Linked DNA regions of Mytilus edulis. The protein of the gene in region 2 purifies or fractionates together with the protein of the main gene of each other region. This does not show direct contact. Links are inferred from orthologs where the notes say so. Each region holds a gene or a part of one and is shown on either strand. Other genes may lie near its edges.

Region 1 (7,023 bases), on a different chromosome or scaffold from region 2:
CTTTCTTATTTAAGGTCTATAATAAGGATTTTTGAGTGTATGCCATGTGTATTCAATTCAAAATATTTTAGGCACTGGCTACGGTTACATGGAAATGTAACAATAATAAAAATATTATTGTTACATTGGAGACTAAATGCCGGAATTCAAAGTCGGATAAGGAACCGATTAATTACGAATGTAACAATAATTATTGAGGCTACGGTTACATTGCGTTATTGTTACATGAAAAACAGCAATGTACGCTCGATTTATTAAACTTAAATCTTCTATGGTTTAACGGTTGCCTTAATCTTGCATCTGTACGAAATAATACTTGTAATAATGATAAGTAATAAATATTATCGATTAACAAATGGTGTTTAAATTGGTCTTTTTAACGTATAAATGGTCACATTTGGTGTTTTAAAGATACTACTTTAGATAAGTAGTGCCAAAGGCGAAAATATAGTCCAATGATTTGTTGTTGAGAACTCGGGCTGAGAAAAGTGTTCACTTTAGTTTAAGTATTTAACTGCACACCTACTCGTATAACTGTCATTTTACTTTACACAATGGATGAAGAGATTCCTGTGACCAATTTTGTTTTGGGTGAACAATTTAAAACTTGGGATTCGTTTGAAACAAAACTGAAACAATATCAAGACACAAATTTCATTCAGCTATACAAACACAGTTCTAAAAAAAATGATTCATCTATAGCAAAGTTTGCTAACTGTGAAGTAAAATACTGTGAACTTCTGTATACATGTATCCACGGAGGACGTAATGTCGTTTCAAAATCAGATGGAGCTCGTCCAAACCAAAGGTAAGTTAAGTTTAACCTATAAACGAATATCAATGGGTCATTATATTCATGCGAGATTGCGTCGTTGGATTGCCCAAAAGTACGAAGAGAGTCATGCCGTTTCTTAAAAGACGACCAAAGGAAAAAGAAGAAGGTAAATAACTTTTTAAAAAAATGGACAGTTGATATACCCCCAGTTTTTGATAGGGTTCGTGTTTCTTAGTCTGTAGTTTTCCATGTTGTGTTTTTTTTACTTTTATTTGTATGTTTTGCCTTTTTACTTTTTAGCCATGGCGATGTCAGTTTGAATAATGGAAAATAATTCACTATTTATTAGTATTTGATGAACTTTTGACTTTTGACTTGCATTTTTATAATTTATTGTTTTTTTCAGCTATGCTAAGTTGGATACTGAAATCCGAGGTAAACCTTACATCCGTAATGGACGGCAATGTGACCATACTGAAAGATGACATAAAACTACATCACATGTTTCCAACCAAAATATTAGATGAGAATATAAACATTGCTAGAGTGAAAAAGTATTTCTCATCGGAAGCATGGCAAACATGAAAGGTTGCCTTATCATCAAAACGGGATATCGCAGAATGGAACTGTACAGTGTGTGATACGGACGTTCACAGTGCGGCATCACTGGTGTGTGATGGCTGCTTGGAGTGGTTTCACCAAAAATGTGTCGGACTTAGAAATGCTCCAAAAACCACTTACTGGATATGTAGAAAATGTCATTGCAAATAAATAATTAAAGAATTTATATTTAATAATTGTATTTATTAAATGATATGAGCAAATAAGCCCTAATACGGATAAATCAGCATGTGCAATACTAAAAACGTTCCACTGTCGATATAAATCAAGAGTTAATATTGCTCTTCGAACAGGGCCAATACAGAAAAAAGCGGGAAAAAAGTCGTATTAGCCCTAGGGCAATACAGGACGTTCACTTCCGGTTTTCAATTTTCTTACGCCATTACTTTACTCTTGAAGTATCGTTATGCATAAAAACATTTGTATAATAATTTTTAAATTAAAGTCATAAAATAAACAGGTTAAATGATGTGCAATGTTTTGTAATGTCTTAATGTTTTCAAACGGAAAAAACAGGGCAAATACAGAAAAAAGCGGGAAAAAAGCTGTATTGGCCCATGGGCTAATACGGGACGTTCACTTCCGGTTTTTAATTCTCTTATAATCATTTAATAAAAGTGTTATGAACTGGCTGTTTCTGTATTGGCACTGGTATAGATTCTCGGTCAGCTGTATTGGCCCTCGACCCTACAGGTCTCGAGGCCAATACAGCAAACCTTGAATCTATACCAGTGCCAATACAGAAACAGCCAGTTAATAACACTATAGTATTGTAAATATAAAATAAATGTCTTTTTTATTATCTTGTACATTTTAATAGACCCATCGTATATTGCTGTTTTTCGTGTAACAATAACGCAATGTAACCGTAGCCTCAGTAATTATTGTTACATTCGTAATTAATCGGTTCCTTACCCGACTTTGCGTTTCGGCATTTAGTCTCCAATGTAACAATAATATTATTATTATTGTTACATTTCCATGTAACCGTAGCCAGTGCCAATATTTTATTGTTCAAATATCAAATGTACATTTAAACAAAGGGATTGGACAAAAGGCAGTGCCTATACAAATCCTTTCCCATACAAGATGGATTGAATAACATGCATGATAGTATATAATTTTCTGATAAGTTAATAGATCATACCATGTGTATGCTGAGGTCATCATTCGAAAAGGCCTCAGGTATTAAAGATTGACATGTCATTGGTATTATTAAATTAATAATTAAATGAGCTACCTTTGTTATATCAAGCTTTATTGTTATTATTATATGGTTATGGACATTATACTTTGGGAACGCCAGTTAATAACTTTCTTTTTTTAATGCTACCTCTGAAAGAAAGTATACCATACGACCCCCCTTTTTTTTTATTAACAAATCATTTATCAATCTTTTCAAGGTTGAAATGCGCCTTTTGGTTGATGTTTTCTATTACAAATAAAATTTCAATTCAAGCATATTAAGGTTGTGACAAAAATACTATATTGTAAAGGTGTTTTACCATGATTGTTGTTCAAAATATTCCCTCGGCTGAAAGCTTCACTGGGCCTCGTGGTAATGTTTTCGTTTGTGCCTCGTGTTAAAAACCGGATGTTGATTTAACAATCGACGTATTTAAAGGGTTTATTGTTACGGACTTAAAATAAATATACAAACATTTTAAAGACGTCGATTATCTCGCACGTGTTAGCAGACGACAAGTTTTGTAGCAGAAAGAGCAAGTTGGTAACTGGCGTGCAGAAGAACTATGTAAGAAAGTTTATGACTGTTCTAGTTTTCCCATACTTCAAGGTTTTTGTAAATCTGAATAGTTGAGAGCTAAGCATCAACTTCATGAATAACCTTTTTTTAACCTAGTTTATATATTATTAAACACTGTGCTTGTCAAGTTGTTGTATTCTTCTACTTGTCTTAATAAATATTTTTTATAACATTGACATTGTGTCTTAATCATATAATTGAATCACTTGTGTAATCATTTGTATGTAATTAATGTTGATTGTTCTGCTCCTTGTGGGTGCTTTGATTAGCAATGAAATATATTTGACAGTGGCGGATCCAGAACTTGACCTAAGGGGGGCCCGCTAACTGACCTAAAAGGGGGGTGGCGATCCAGTCATGCTTCAGTGATTACCTATATAATCAACCAAATTTTTTCCACGAAAAGGGAGGGGGGGTGTGTGTTCCAACCACATGTCCTAATTCAAATGCATTGATCGTCCAAAAAAAAGGGGGGTTCCAACCCTCAACACACACCCTCGATCTGCCACTGCTTTGCATTGGCAAAAGCCAATTTTGTCTAGTATAGAACCATTCTACGATTGACAAAGGGAAGTAATTTTTGTGATTTGAGGCTATAGAATTTGTTTTGTTTGATAAATAAACATTAAAAATTTAAACAACACTAATTACAATGTTTTATATGAATTATCTCCCTTACATTGCTTTTAGATTATGTCTTACTTGATTTATTTCACTTGACTGGGCGGAGTTAAAACGGTGCGTTCATCATTGACCAGTCCATCTACTGATAGGTGTTTTGGAATAAACTCATCAATGAAGTGTCCAGTTTGGTCATTGTTAATTTGTTTGGTGACACTGATAGTGATTAGAAATCAATGATAATTATAACGCTGTAATTATTGAAGAGATTTTGAAAAAATCGAGATTTTTTTTTATAGAGAAAATCATGCAGCAGGAAGACCAGGTTGTTGAAGAAGAATTAGTTGTGAATGAAGATGATGAAGAGGTATGGCTCCTTGCATTGAGTAACAACTCTTTGAAATTAGTTTAACCATATTATTTACTCTCTCTGCAAACTCTAGTCCAGTCTCTTTATTTATTTTTATTGGAATAACAATAAACAAATATTAAAATATAATTTATGAGTTTTCCCTTGGAAAAAATGTGTTGGCTGCTACCGTACCTACATTTGTACAAATGATTTACATTTAAAATGTTTTGGTATAAGAAATTCCTAGTGTCACAATTGCTTGTGTCAAAAAATGAAATAGCAGGTGCACCACTTTAATTGTGGAGAATTTGTGCAAGTATAGTAGAAGTCTATTAATCTGTTTTCAAGGACATATTAACATAAAATGAGATGCAAATGATGACAAGGCAACGCTCACTCAGCTGATAGATGTGATCAGTATTTTTCACCTATAGACCTACAGTGATGTTACATTTATACATATTTGTTCTTATATATATAAGGAGTGCACTCTAATGGTTGAGCTGAAAATGTAGAGAAAATTCAAATCAACAGTACAGGTTATAACATGCCAGAAGACAGTTTCAATTAATATTATGTTCTTCAGCTTCCTATTTCTTTTAGAATGATAGCTAGTACGTCCCAGTTGAGGGGAGTGTTTATGTCGTTAATCATTTACTATTTCAGGAATCACTTTTCCAGGACATAGATCTTCTGCAGAATCATGGAATTGTAAGTCTTAACTGATATAAGTCATTTAATATAGAATAGTTGATATATATTATAGCTAGCACCATTTATCAAGGTTATAGTGCTTAAAAGGGGGATGGGCATCTTAATTGTTAACAACAGCTATAATCCAAATACTGTTAATTCAGGATGTTCCCAGTTGGAAAATGTATAGAAAAGTTTAAAGTTGCGTTTGTACAAGAACAATAATGTGTACTCTATTACAATATCAGAAATTTTATATGATTTTACATTCATCCTATAGTCAAAACATATTTAGATGGTCTCCAAACTAGTTTTGCTACTCTGAATTTCAAGAAGAGGTAATTTTTCTTATCTAGGTTCAAACTACATCTCAGTCTTTTTCTCTGACATGTGTACAAGTATTTTGTAATCACAAAAGACGATTGAGGTAGAAAGATTTTACTGCTGAGCACAGTTCAATGTTTGAAATGGATGTAAACAGTATAGGTGCCTTAGAAAATATGTTAGATTTTATATGGAGTTTTTTTTTTTATTATTCTCTGCTTTAGTAAAACAGATGAAGGAATGGAACCAATATATTCCAAACCTTTTTTCAATGTGAATTGTTAGAAAGGAAATTGGGGTATGCGTCAAAGAGACATCAACTCGCCCAAATTGCAAACCACAGCCCACAACCAACAATGGGTCTTCAAAGCAGCAAGGAAATCCCATCCAAACTTTGTGTCATTTATATTTGCATCATTTAATTATTTTTTTAATTTATAGAATGTAGCTGACATAAAGAAACTGAAGCAAGTGGGAATATGTACCATAAAGGCAAGTATTGTATAAACTTTAAGTACTACTTCGTTATTTATTATCAAATCTCAAACAATAGCAAGTGCATTATATTGTACCTTTTATCTCTTCATACTTTTTTGAAATTTTAACCATTAAATATGCAAAATTGTATTATTACAGGGAATCCAAATGACCACAAAGAAAAGACTTTGTGCTGTAAAAGGAATTTCTGAAGCAAAAATGGAAAAAATCAAAGAAGCTGCAAATAAGCTCTGTGTATGTATTAACCTACTGTCATCATCCTAATATATTTTCCCAAACTAGTTCTCCCTGTTTTAAGAATAAAATATATATAAGTAGGGAACATAGTTACACCAGAAAAAGATTAAAGTCTGGCATTAATTTTCAAAGGAGTGAGTTGGTCCAGTTGAAAAAGTCAAAAATTAGTATTTCAAAGTCAAACAGTTTAATGATGAATGAGGAGAATTTTATTATTTTTTTTTTAATTTCAGTAGCAGATGCCTCATTTCATTCTTGTATTTCCAGGATCCAGGTTTTTTGACAGCTTTAGAGTATTCAGATAAAAGAAAAGCTGTCTTCAGAATAACGACTGGAAGCATAGAATTAGAGTAATTAGTTTTTTAGTTATACTAACATTGTTTATTTTTATACCATTATGTGTACAGCAAAGTAAAATCTTTTATATTTCTATACATTATACAAAACTGAGATTAGAAGTTGATTAAAGAATTGTTTGCACATGTTGCATGGATCTTTAATTTTGAGAAAATATCAGGTGGGTCCCTACAAATCAAAAGAATATCTAGCCTGCAGTCTTCACCCTGAGTGGCAGCCCAGGCTAGTAAAATTGCTCTCGGGCCTGTAAAAATCATATCTACAGGCCGCCAACAGAATCTAACTAAAAAAATTGGAAAATTGAGCTCTGGGCATGTAGATTTAACAGTTCATCATGAAGACTCTCTAGGGTCACAATTATTTATAAAAGTTTTACAAATTTTCACTTCTGACAATATATGTGATTTAGGAATTAATTATTTCATAACAAACCTCTGCATAGATGTTTAGGCCAAATAAAAAAATAAGAGTTTACCTTTTTCCCTACCTACGGGGTAGTACCCTATATTTTAAGCTTAGAAATAGCCTACCTTAAAGTTTTTTTGGTCATTTTCCAATAATCATTGTTTATAATGTAAGAATTTTTCTCCCATAGACTCAATGTAAAAAAATGTAAAATAAAAAAATCCCTATCTACCTACCTACCCTTTTTTTTTCAAAGATAATATAGGAAACGCACATATTATTTTATTTGGCCTTGTACAAGAGCAAACAAAATATCAATGTTCTATTAAAAAAAAAGATTGCAATGGATGTAATAAAAAAAGATGTTATCGACAA
Region 2 (7,937 bases):
TTTCAAATGAGTGCTGACTTGTACTTTAATTTATCATGCATAATTTTACATGATGCATGATAAACAATTGAAGTACAAGCATTAGTTCCATGATGGTAAATTGAAATACATGAAATTCCAGTAGACGTTGTTGTTTCTATCCGTAAATGTATATGACAGAATATATAAATCTTTAGATAATAAGTTAACTACATGTACTAACATGCCAATGCTTCTGTTGTGTCATTAAATTTCTTGAAGTGTTTCAGCTTCAATCTGAAATTTAAGAAAAATATATTTAGATGATCTTCCCTCCTATGCATTCCCTTCAAAATACATTTTTTTTCTTACACATTAGTCATGACAATAACAAGGTCGAAGACGACAAATTTATCTAAAAATGCATATGTATGAAAAATAAAAGATTATTTCAAATTGATCTAAATGGCCTACTTCGATTCGTCCAACTCGGGATGACTTGAGTTAAAAGACAAGTGCTAATGCGCATGTGAGCAACCTTTACCAATTGAAGTCAAAACTCTTCCATCGAGTAAAGGATGGGAAAAATTCTTTTTAACTGAGTATTAAAATAACAAAAAAACACAACGTTATGTTTCAGGAAAAGAGTTCTAATCCTGTGTGCTTTTGCAAAATAGATTTGTTAGTGCGTTAAAAACGGTTGAGAAAAAAATTGTTTAGAAAAAATCATCAATTTCTGTTGATGTATAACATTACCGACAGTTGATAAACAAATTAAAATTATTTGTGGATTCCAAAATAGCAGCAATAATAAATTCGCCACATCAGCCTTATTCTTCGGCTGTATTTTGTCAAATACCAGTTTATTAGTATCACTTTTATTTGTTGCAACAAATTGACGCCATCTTGAAACTCGACTAAACCTGCCCCGCCCCAGGGTTGATGTCGAGTTAACTCGGGTAGGTTCAAAAAATCAAACTCAGGGTGTTCGGTTGTCAGTCGAGTAAACTCAATGGACTCTATTAACCCGAGTTGGACGAATCGAAGTAGGCCATTGAGAATTTTAACTGAGGAAAATTTCAAATTAAAAAGTTATAAGTATGAGGAATAACTTGGATTTAATTCATTTACTACCTAAATACCCGACAATTTCTTTGAAAAAAATCATGACCATTTCTTACGTTTTAAAATGCAAATGTAGTTTTATTGTTGTCTTTTTTCAAAACTACCTCAACTGTTGTCTGAGGGAAAAACTACATAATTTTTTTTTTTTTTTTTAAATAAATATGGTTTGAATTTAAAAGCACAACTCTGACTTTTTGCTGACCCCTTTGCTGCCTTTTTTTCACATATATTTTGATTGTCAGACATTTTCAATACTTTTTGATAAAGGGATTGGAAGAAACTGAAACAATGAAGGTTCTTTCTGCATTTAAAACCACATGTGTTACAAACACTGTGATGATTCTAATCAGAAACCTAGATCTCAAAAGTGCTTTCATAATATCAAAATAAAAAAATTAATGCAAAATTAACATACAATACAACCACTGTTTAGGAAAAATGTAAAGCTTATTGAGCATGTTAAGAGGAATTTTATGCTATTTTTTTTAGTAATTGGTAATTTTCTGTGTATTTATTAAATAATTTGTGTTTAGGTATTCCTGAAAAAAAATGTCAGGCTTTTTTATTCAGTTGTCAAAATCTAGAAAAAATGGGAAAAAAACAGAGTCCATTTCTCGGATTATAAATGCTTCTACCGGAAATTCACCGTCTCCTTTATCTTTTGATTCAAAAGTAAATAGACAGTCACATTAAGTTTTTAGTTGATTTTGTTCCATTCTGTTTAGAAATTTTTGCATACTTAGACATAGCTGCGGAACCGTAGCTCTTAGGTCCTTATGTTATTTTTTGACTATTTGCGGACCATAGATCCGCAAATATTCAAAAAATAACATAAGGACCTAAGAGCTACGGTTCCGCAGCTAACTTAGACATAGTGGATATTTCTAATCTAAATAAGAAATGCAAAACAAAAATTCATAGCGTTTGGAGAGTTTAAACTAGGGTAAGTGAGATAACTGAAGTCTAAAACCACACATACATATACATTTTAATTTGCCTTGGAGAAAAATTTAATGTGTTCTTGGTGTTTGCATGGTTTGATTATAATTCTGTGGTGAAAACATTTAATTCAATTTCTTAATCATATTTCTTACAGCTTTGTTGCCTTTTCTGGAGTCTCAAATTCTTTGAATAAGTTTTCTGTTTCTCTCAGCTTTTTCTCATCTTGAAGCTAAAATTAGTACACATAAAAACATCACAACAAGTTCTCTGTTAAACATGTATGCAGTAGTATGATTTACTTTTTTAAAGATGGTTACTGTAAATCTAAACAAGTCGGGAGACCAGGAGCTGGAGCCAAACTTTATGTTTCAAGATAAATTGAAAAATGGGGGGAGTCCAAAAAACCTCACAAAACCATAAGCTGCCGACTATATATAAGTTAGGAATTAAGTGAAAATTATAACTGCCACAATCCATACTTGATACAGGTATTTATCTTATAAAATGATTGTGCCTGGAGCCAGTGGATGCTATGAGCAAATAATTTGCGTCCATGTGTCAACATACAATAGCATTTTTATGTCAAATCGTCCAGAAAAAAACTTTCAATTGATGTCAATCTGAAAAGATGAAAGTTTTATTTCATTTTAAGCAAACAACAGCTTTTTTTCCCACTGCAATGCAGAAACACGTGTATATTTTTTTGCATGCAGACCAGACCACGTGGTGAATTTTGCATGTTTCACTGGAGCCAAATAGAGAGTAAATTAATTTGCAGATTGTTGACATCGCATTATTATTAAGACCCTCGTAAAATATTTACCTTAAAAACTGCATATCCAGCTGCAGTTTCAAATAAAACCAACATTTTGCAGATATCAACAACACTGCTTCAAACCACGAGGTTCCCTACAAATACGATTAATACAAATTACGAAGGAAACATTGAAGAAACGAATTTAGATGGCATTTAAATGGTCGAGGCTATTATAACGTAGAGTGCGGTATCAGTTCTTGGTCAGATGAAACAGAAAGCAGGTTTTAAGTCGGAATATAATAAATTCATTAAAAGTGAATGATAAGTTTTCTTTTAAAAACTAAAATATTATAAAGACTCAAAGATATCAGCTAGGGTTATAAATATAATCAAAAAAATTTAATATACATGTACATGTATGCTTATTAACCGTTCCACAAATGATATCGGATATGTTCCTTACGTCGTAACTACAATCCCCTTCCCTTTCATGAATGTGACCTACCGAATTATACTATTTACTGGATTTGTTATCACATAAGTAACACGACGGGTGTCACATGTGGAGCAGAATCTGCTTACCCTTCCGGAGCACCTGAGATCACCCCTAGTTTTTGGTGGGGTTCGTGTTGCTTATTCTTTAGTTTTCTATGTTATGTCATGTGTAGTATTGTTTGTCTGTTTGTCTTTTTCATTTTTAGCCATGACGTTGTCAGTTTATTTTCGATTTATGAGTTTGACTGTCCCTCTGGTATCTTTCGTCCCTTATTAAAATACAAAATTCACGTTCCGTCTACACTGAGATTACTATGTAAAACATAAAGTATAACAAATAGCCTAAAATAAAGAATACAATATAGAGTCAATGCCCTTATCACGACCAGAATATTGCCTTAATTTGTGTTTTATTGATCAACAGTATTCAACCATGCAACATCCGTGTATGCCGACCATAGCGCTGCGGCATCCTGTATGTAGTGTAATACTACAAAGGAGATGTGGTGTGATTGCCAATGATTCAAATATCAACCCTCGAACCACTGAACTACTGACAAATGGCAACCACGGAGCTACAGATTCCTGACTACAGGCAATCACATTTTGACCCTGCTTTAAAATTAAACAATTGTCATCGTTTAGTTCTTTGTTAGATGTCACCCTTTAAACAGTACGCTTTAGTACATGTTTTATTATTCAACATAGAAGGGGCCTCGGTGGCCGAGTGAATTTTTATTGTACATAATCAGGGCCGTAACTAGGGTTCGAATTCAGGGGAGGCAGGGGTTTGGGGACCGCCGATTGAGCCCCCTTTGATAGGGGTAGGGGCGCAGCCCCCCGCCGATCTTTTTCTCTCAGTCATTGGCTAAAAATTACCCGTTTCCCTTCGATTTCCTTACTTTAAGAAACATCAGTATTGCTTGAACCTGGAAGCAACTTGTATGCAAAAACAAGCTGAGATTGCTGTTTGGGTTGAGCCAAGGCTAGCTCCGTCTTGAAGGCTGTACTTTGACCTATAATTGTTAACATTAGTAAATACATTGTGACCGTGGATTTTTTTCTCAAATGATATGGCAAAAATTACCCGTTTTCCTTCGATTTCCTTACTTTAAGAAAGATCAGTTTTGCTGGATCCCTGGAGCAATTTTCATGCAAACAATTATTATCTGTATTTTCTGTATTTGAAGATATATTTTTAGAAACTGGAAAAGTTCAAAAAACATATAAGCAAGATTATAAAACACAAGATATTTTTTTTTATCGAGGATCTTGAATTTCAATATTGTTGAAAGCTGAACAGACATGTATATAACATAAAACAGGGACTTTCTATACTAGTCTAGTATATACTTAGTATAGAAAGTCCCTGCTACAACGAATGGGAGTGTTTACCTACTAATTAAGGCATTGACCATAATGTTCTCGTACGATCGGGAAACTTAAAAAAAGGATCCAACAGCTGATTCAGCCGGTAACGAATTTCCGATATCTTAAGAGATTCACAATACAAAAGGAACTTCCTCTGCTTAAATAATTGAGCCCCAAAATAAATGTGAATAGTTAAGTTTTTATTCAAAATTATCGAAAGCAAAGTTTCATATGTGTTCTCATACGAATACTGACCCCCTCAATTCCGAATAACAGACGGACGGCCACACGAAAAAATAATAAAACAAATACTGAAACGGTTTTACTTTCGATCAAAAATCCGAAAAATGACAGACATATCACGTATCATGATAACACTGTTAAAACTGTTAACTTGTGTTGTTTATAATATAAATTCAAGTTCTTCGTATTCATATTGTCAATATTTTATATTTTTACTTCAAAAAAAAAATGTTGGTGTAGAAAATTCAGGGCAAACTGCCTCCCCTGCCTCATAGGTAGTTACGGCCCTGATAATTTGAATAAAATTTAATCAAGAGAAAAAGCAGTTACTACTGTAATCACTAGCCAGTCAACACTGAGGTTGTGAGTTCGAACCCCGCTCGTTCGGGTGCATTCGACTCCAATCTTAATTGACTAGGATTGTCAGTTATCCTATCAATCGGATGGTTTTCTCCGCACACTCCGGCTTCCTCCACCAAAAAAACCTTGCCGCCATGATATAGCCCAAAAGCGGTGTTTAAAAGTGGCGTTAAAACACCAAAAATTAAATCAAATTATTCGATAGACAATATTTAGACAAGACAATATTTATTAGCACAAACACCTTTACATTAAATGGTTATGGCATACAAAATTAAGACAATAAACTGACAATAGTTAAATTGATTATAATCATATTAAAGTGACAGTGGTATTCACAGTGAAGAAAAAAAGGCTATAAATATCAACAGTTAACACATTATTAATGTTCATGAACAATCAAAGAAAGAACCCTAACAAAAATTAGGTTGCATATTAAAAGAAATACAAGTTGTACAGATGTTCTCAATAAAAAGAACAATCATTAATATACTTTATGGTGATTTTAATAATGACTGGTAGACTGCTATTTAAAAGTGCAGTCAAATGCTTCAGTGTTATAGCGGACTGCATTTTAATAAAATTGAAATTAATAGATTTTTATTAATATTTTGTATATAGGTATCCCTCAATGATGTATAGTATGGACAGATTGAGAAGAAATGGTATTCATCCTCAATTTCTTGACTGTTACAGGATAAGCAAATGCGTTTACTTCTATCAATGTTGGTATAACGCCCTCTTTCAATTGCTAGGGAATGGACACTTAGTTTAAATTTACTGACATATGGGGGCCATTTTCTAATTCTTTTAGTATGACAAAAGAAATTTATTTTTTCACATTTATTGATATCTAACAATTCATAATTTGAAAAGCCTGGTCAAAGATTCTTTGTTGGATAGTATTTATGTGATATTTTAAATTAATATTATAGATTCTTTGTTGGATAGTATTTATGTGATATTTTAAATTAATATTATAGTATCTAAAGTGAGATGACCAAAACCTAATTTATTTAACCATGCAGTCTTTTACAATGTTAACCCATTTACTTGTTTTCTCTACATTATTATATATTTTATGGACTAAAGTGTTAGGCGAGTTCACAATGTGGTTTAGAAATTTTATAGCTGAAAGCTGAATTTTAAAGTACAAAGGGGTTCTGTTTGTCTCAGCTAAACAGGCTACATTTGTTGTTTTGCACTGTACTCCTAAAATTTCTTTAATAAATTTAATATGTAAATGTTCAAATGGATCTGAATCTTTGAACACCTGGGCTGCGTGAAATATCGTAGCAGCTACGTAGTGTGTAGATTTTCACTATTGAACGTGAAGCTATATAATAGTTGTTACATAAATATTGATAGCAGCTATACATAGCCGCTACGTAGCTGCTACGATATTGAACTCAACCCTGGCTTACACCCCAAACTTCACTTCCGTAAAGACTTATAGGAACAACTAAAGTATCAAATAATTTTCCAAGCATACTGCAGAAATTATCTAAAGAGACTGTTTATTTTAATTTTTAACCAAGCCTTTCTTCCCTTTTCAATAAGAATTTTTTTGAACGACTTAAACTTCATGAACAATTCATAGTTATTCCAAGGTAACAATAAGATTTAAAAGTCTCAAGATGTTCGTTTTCTACTTTAAAATAATTACAATGAGATTTTCCATTAGAATTGAATATTATAATTTTTGATTTTTGTTTGTTTACATCAAGTTTCCATAGGGAACAAATTTAGCCCTTCTTGGGTTTCGGACAATAGAATAATGTCATCAGAATATAATAATGATGTTAGTTTAACATCTCCTATAAAAATTGGTTGAGTGTTTGCATGATCTAGGTCATTTACAAGGCCATTTATATAAAGATTAAATAAAGTGGGGCCAAGTACATCTCCTTGTTTTCAGTACTCCGCAATTTGATATAAATGCATGGCTAATACCATTTTGAAATTTAATTCTGCATTTATTTTCATTATACATTGATTGGATGACATTAAAAAGCTTGCCTGGAAGTCTGTTTTGAAGTAGGATGTAGAATAAACCCTCCCGGCTCCAGACAGTATATCAAAGGCCTTTCGCAGATCTATGAATACTGCAAAAACTTTTTTTTTTAGTCTTATATTTATCTACGATTGACTTTAATGAGAAGATATGATCTGCTGTTCTAGCAGAGTCATAGACGGACTCAGAAAAACATTAATCTCTGATGCATGATTTTTTATTATTAATTGTTTTTGGCTTTTAACTAGCTGCCACTAACTGTGAGTACTCTCAAATCGTATTTTCTTGTTAATTCGACCTGTTGTTATTTTTTTATAATGCGTTTTTGTTAGTTTATATTAATATGGATCTTGTCTATATACCAGCTTTGATTATTTGGAATATCTTCTAATTTTCACTTCTTCGTACTACATTTGACAATGTATGAACTTCAAGATTATTCTGCTTAAATCTGTACAGGGAAGTTTTAGCTAGCTCTAATTGTATAGATTTATTGTTGATATTCACCCCAATTTGTATCTAGTGTTAAATTATGTATTTATATGACAGAACTTTCTTGGTATTCCTAATTATTGGAAGAATTGTATACACATAGTAGTATAAACCTAAAACGAGAAAAGTTATTTTTCATTTACCTGTATATGTCATTAAAACCGGTGTTTTCAAAATTTA

The links. Proteins that work in one complex are often made in the same cells at the same time.
Region 1: the proteins of nucleolar protein 58-like (region 2) and NHP2-like protein 1 fractionate together in Homo sapiens (co-fractionation; 3 studies listed by BioGRID and IntAct, with this or other methods). This does not show direct contact. The link is inferred for Mytilus edulis from reciprocal best matches to the Homo sapiens genes NOP58 and SNU13.

The regions. Positions count from the first base shown.
Region 1 is NC_092352.1:86,754,329-86,761,351, reverse strand, and holds the start of NHP2-like protein 1, read right to left. Parts: upstream 3,021-7,023; 5' UTR 2,905-3,020; coding exon 2,902-2,904; intron 1-2,901. Other genes in the region: meiotic recombination protein DMC1/LIM15 homolog, read left to right, coding at 4,090-4,149, 4,801-4,845, 5,593-5,643, 5,788-5,883, 6,154-6,236.
Region 2 is NC_092357.1:55,774,503-55,782,439, forward strand, and holds the start of nucleolar protein 58-like, read right to left. Parts: upstream 3,007-7,937; 5' UTR 2,894-3,006; coding exon 2,849-2,893; intron 2,255-2,848; coding exon 2,178-2,254; intron 256-2,177; coding exon 203-255; intron 1-202. UniProt on the Homo sapiens protein: Required for the biogenesis of box C/D snoRNAs such as U3, U8 and U14 snoRNAs. Part of the small subunit (SSU) processome, first precursor of the small eukaryotic ribosomal subunit.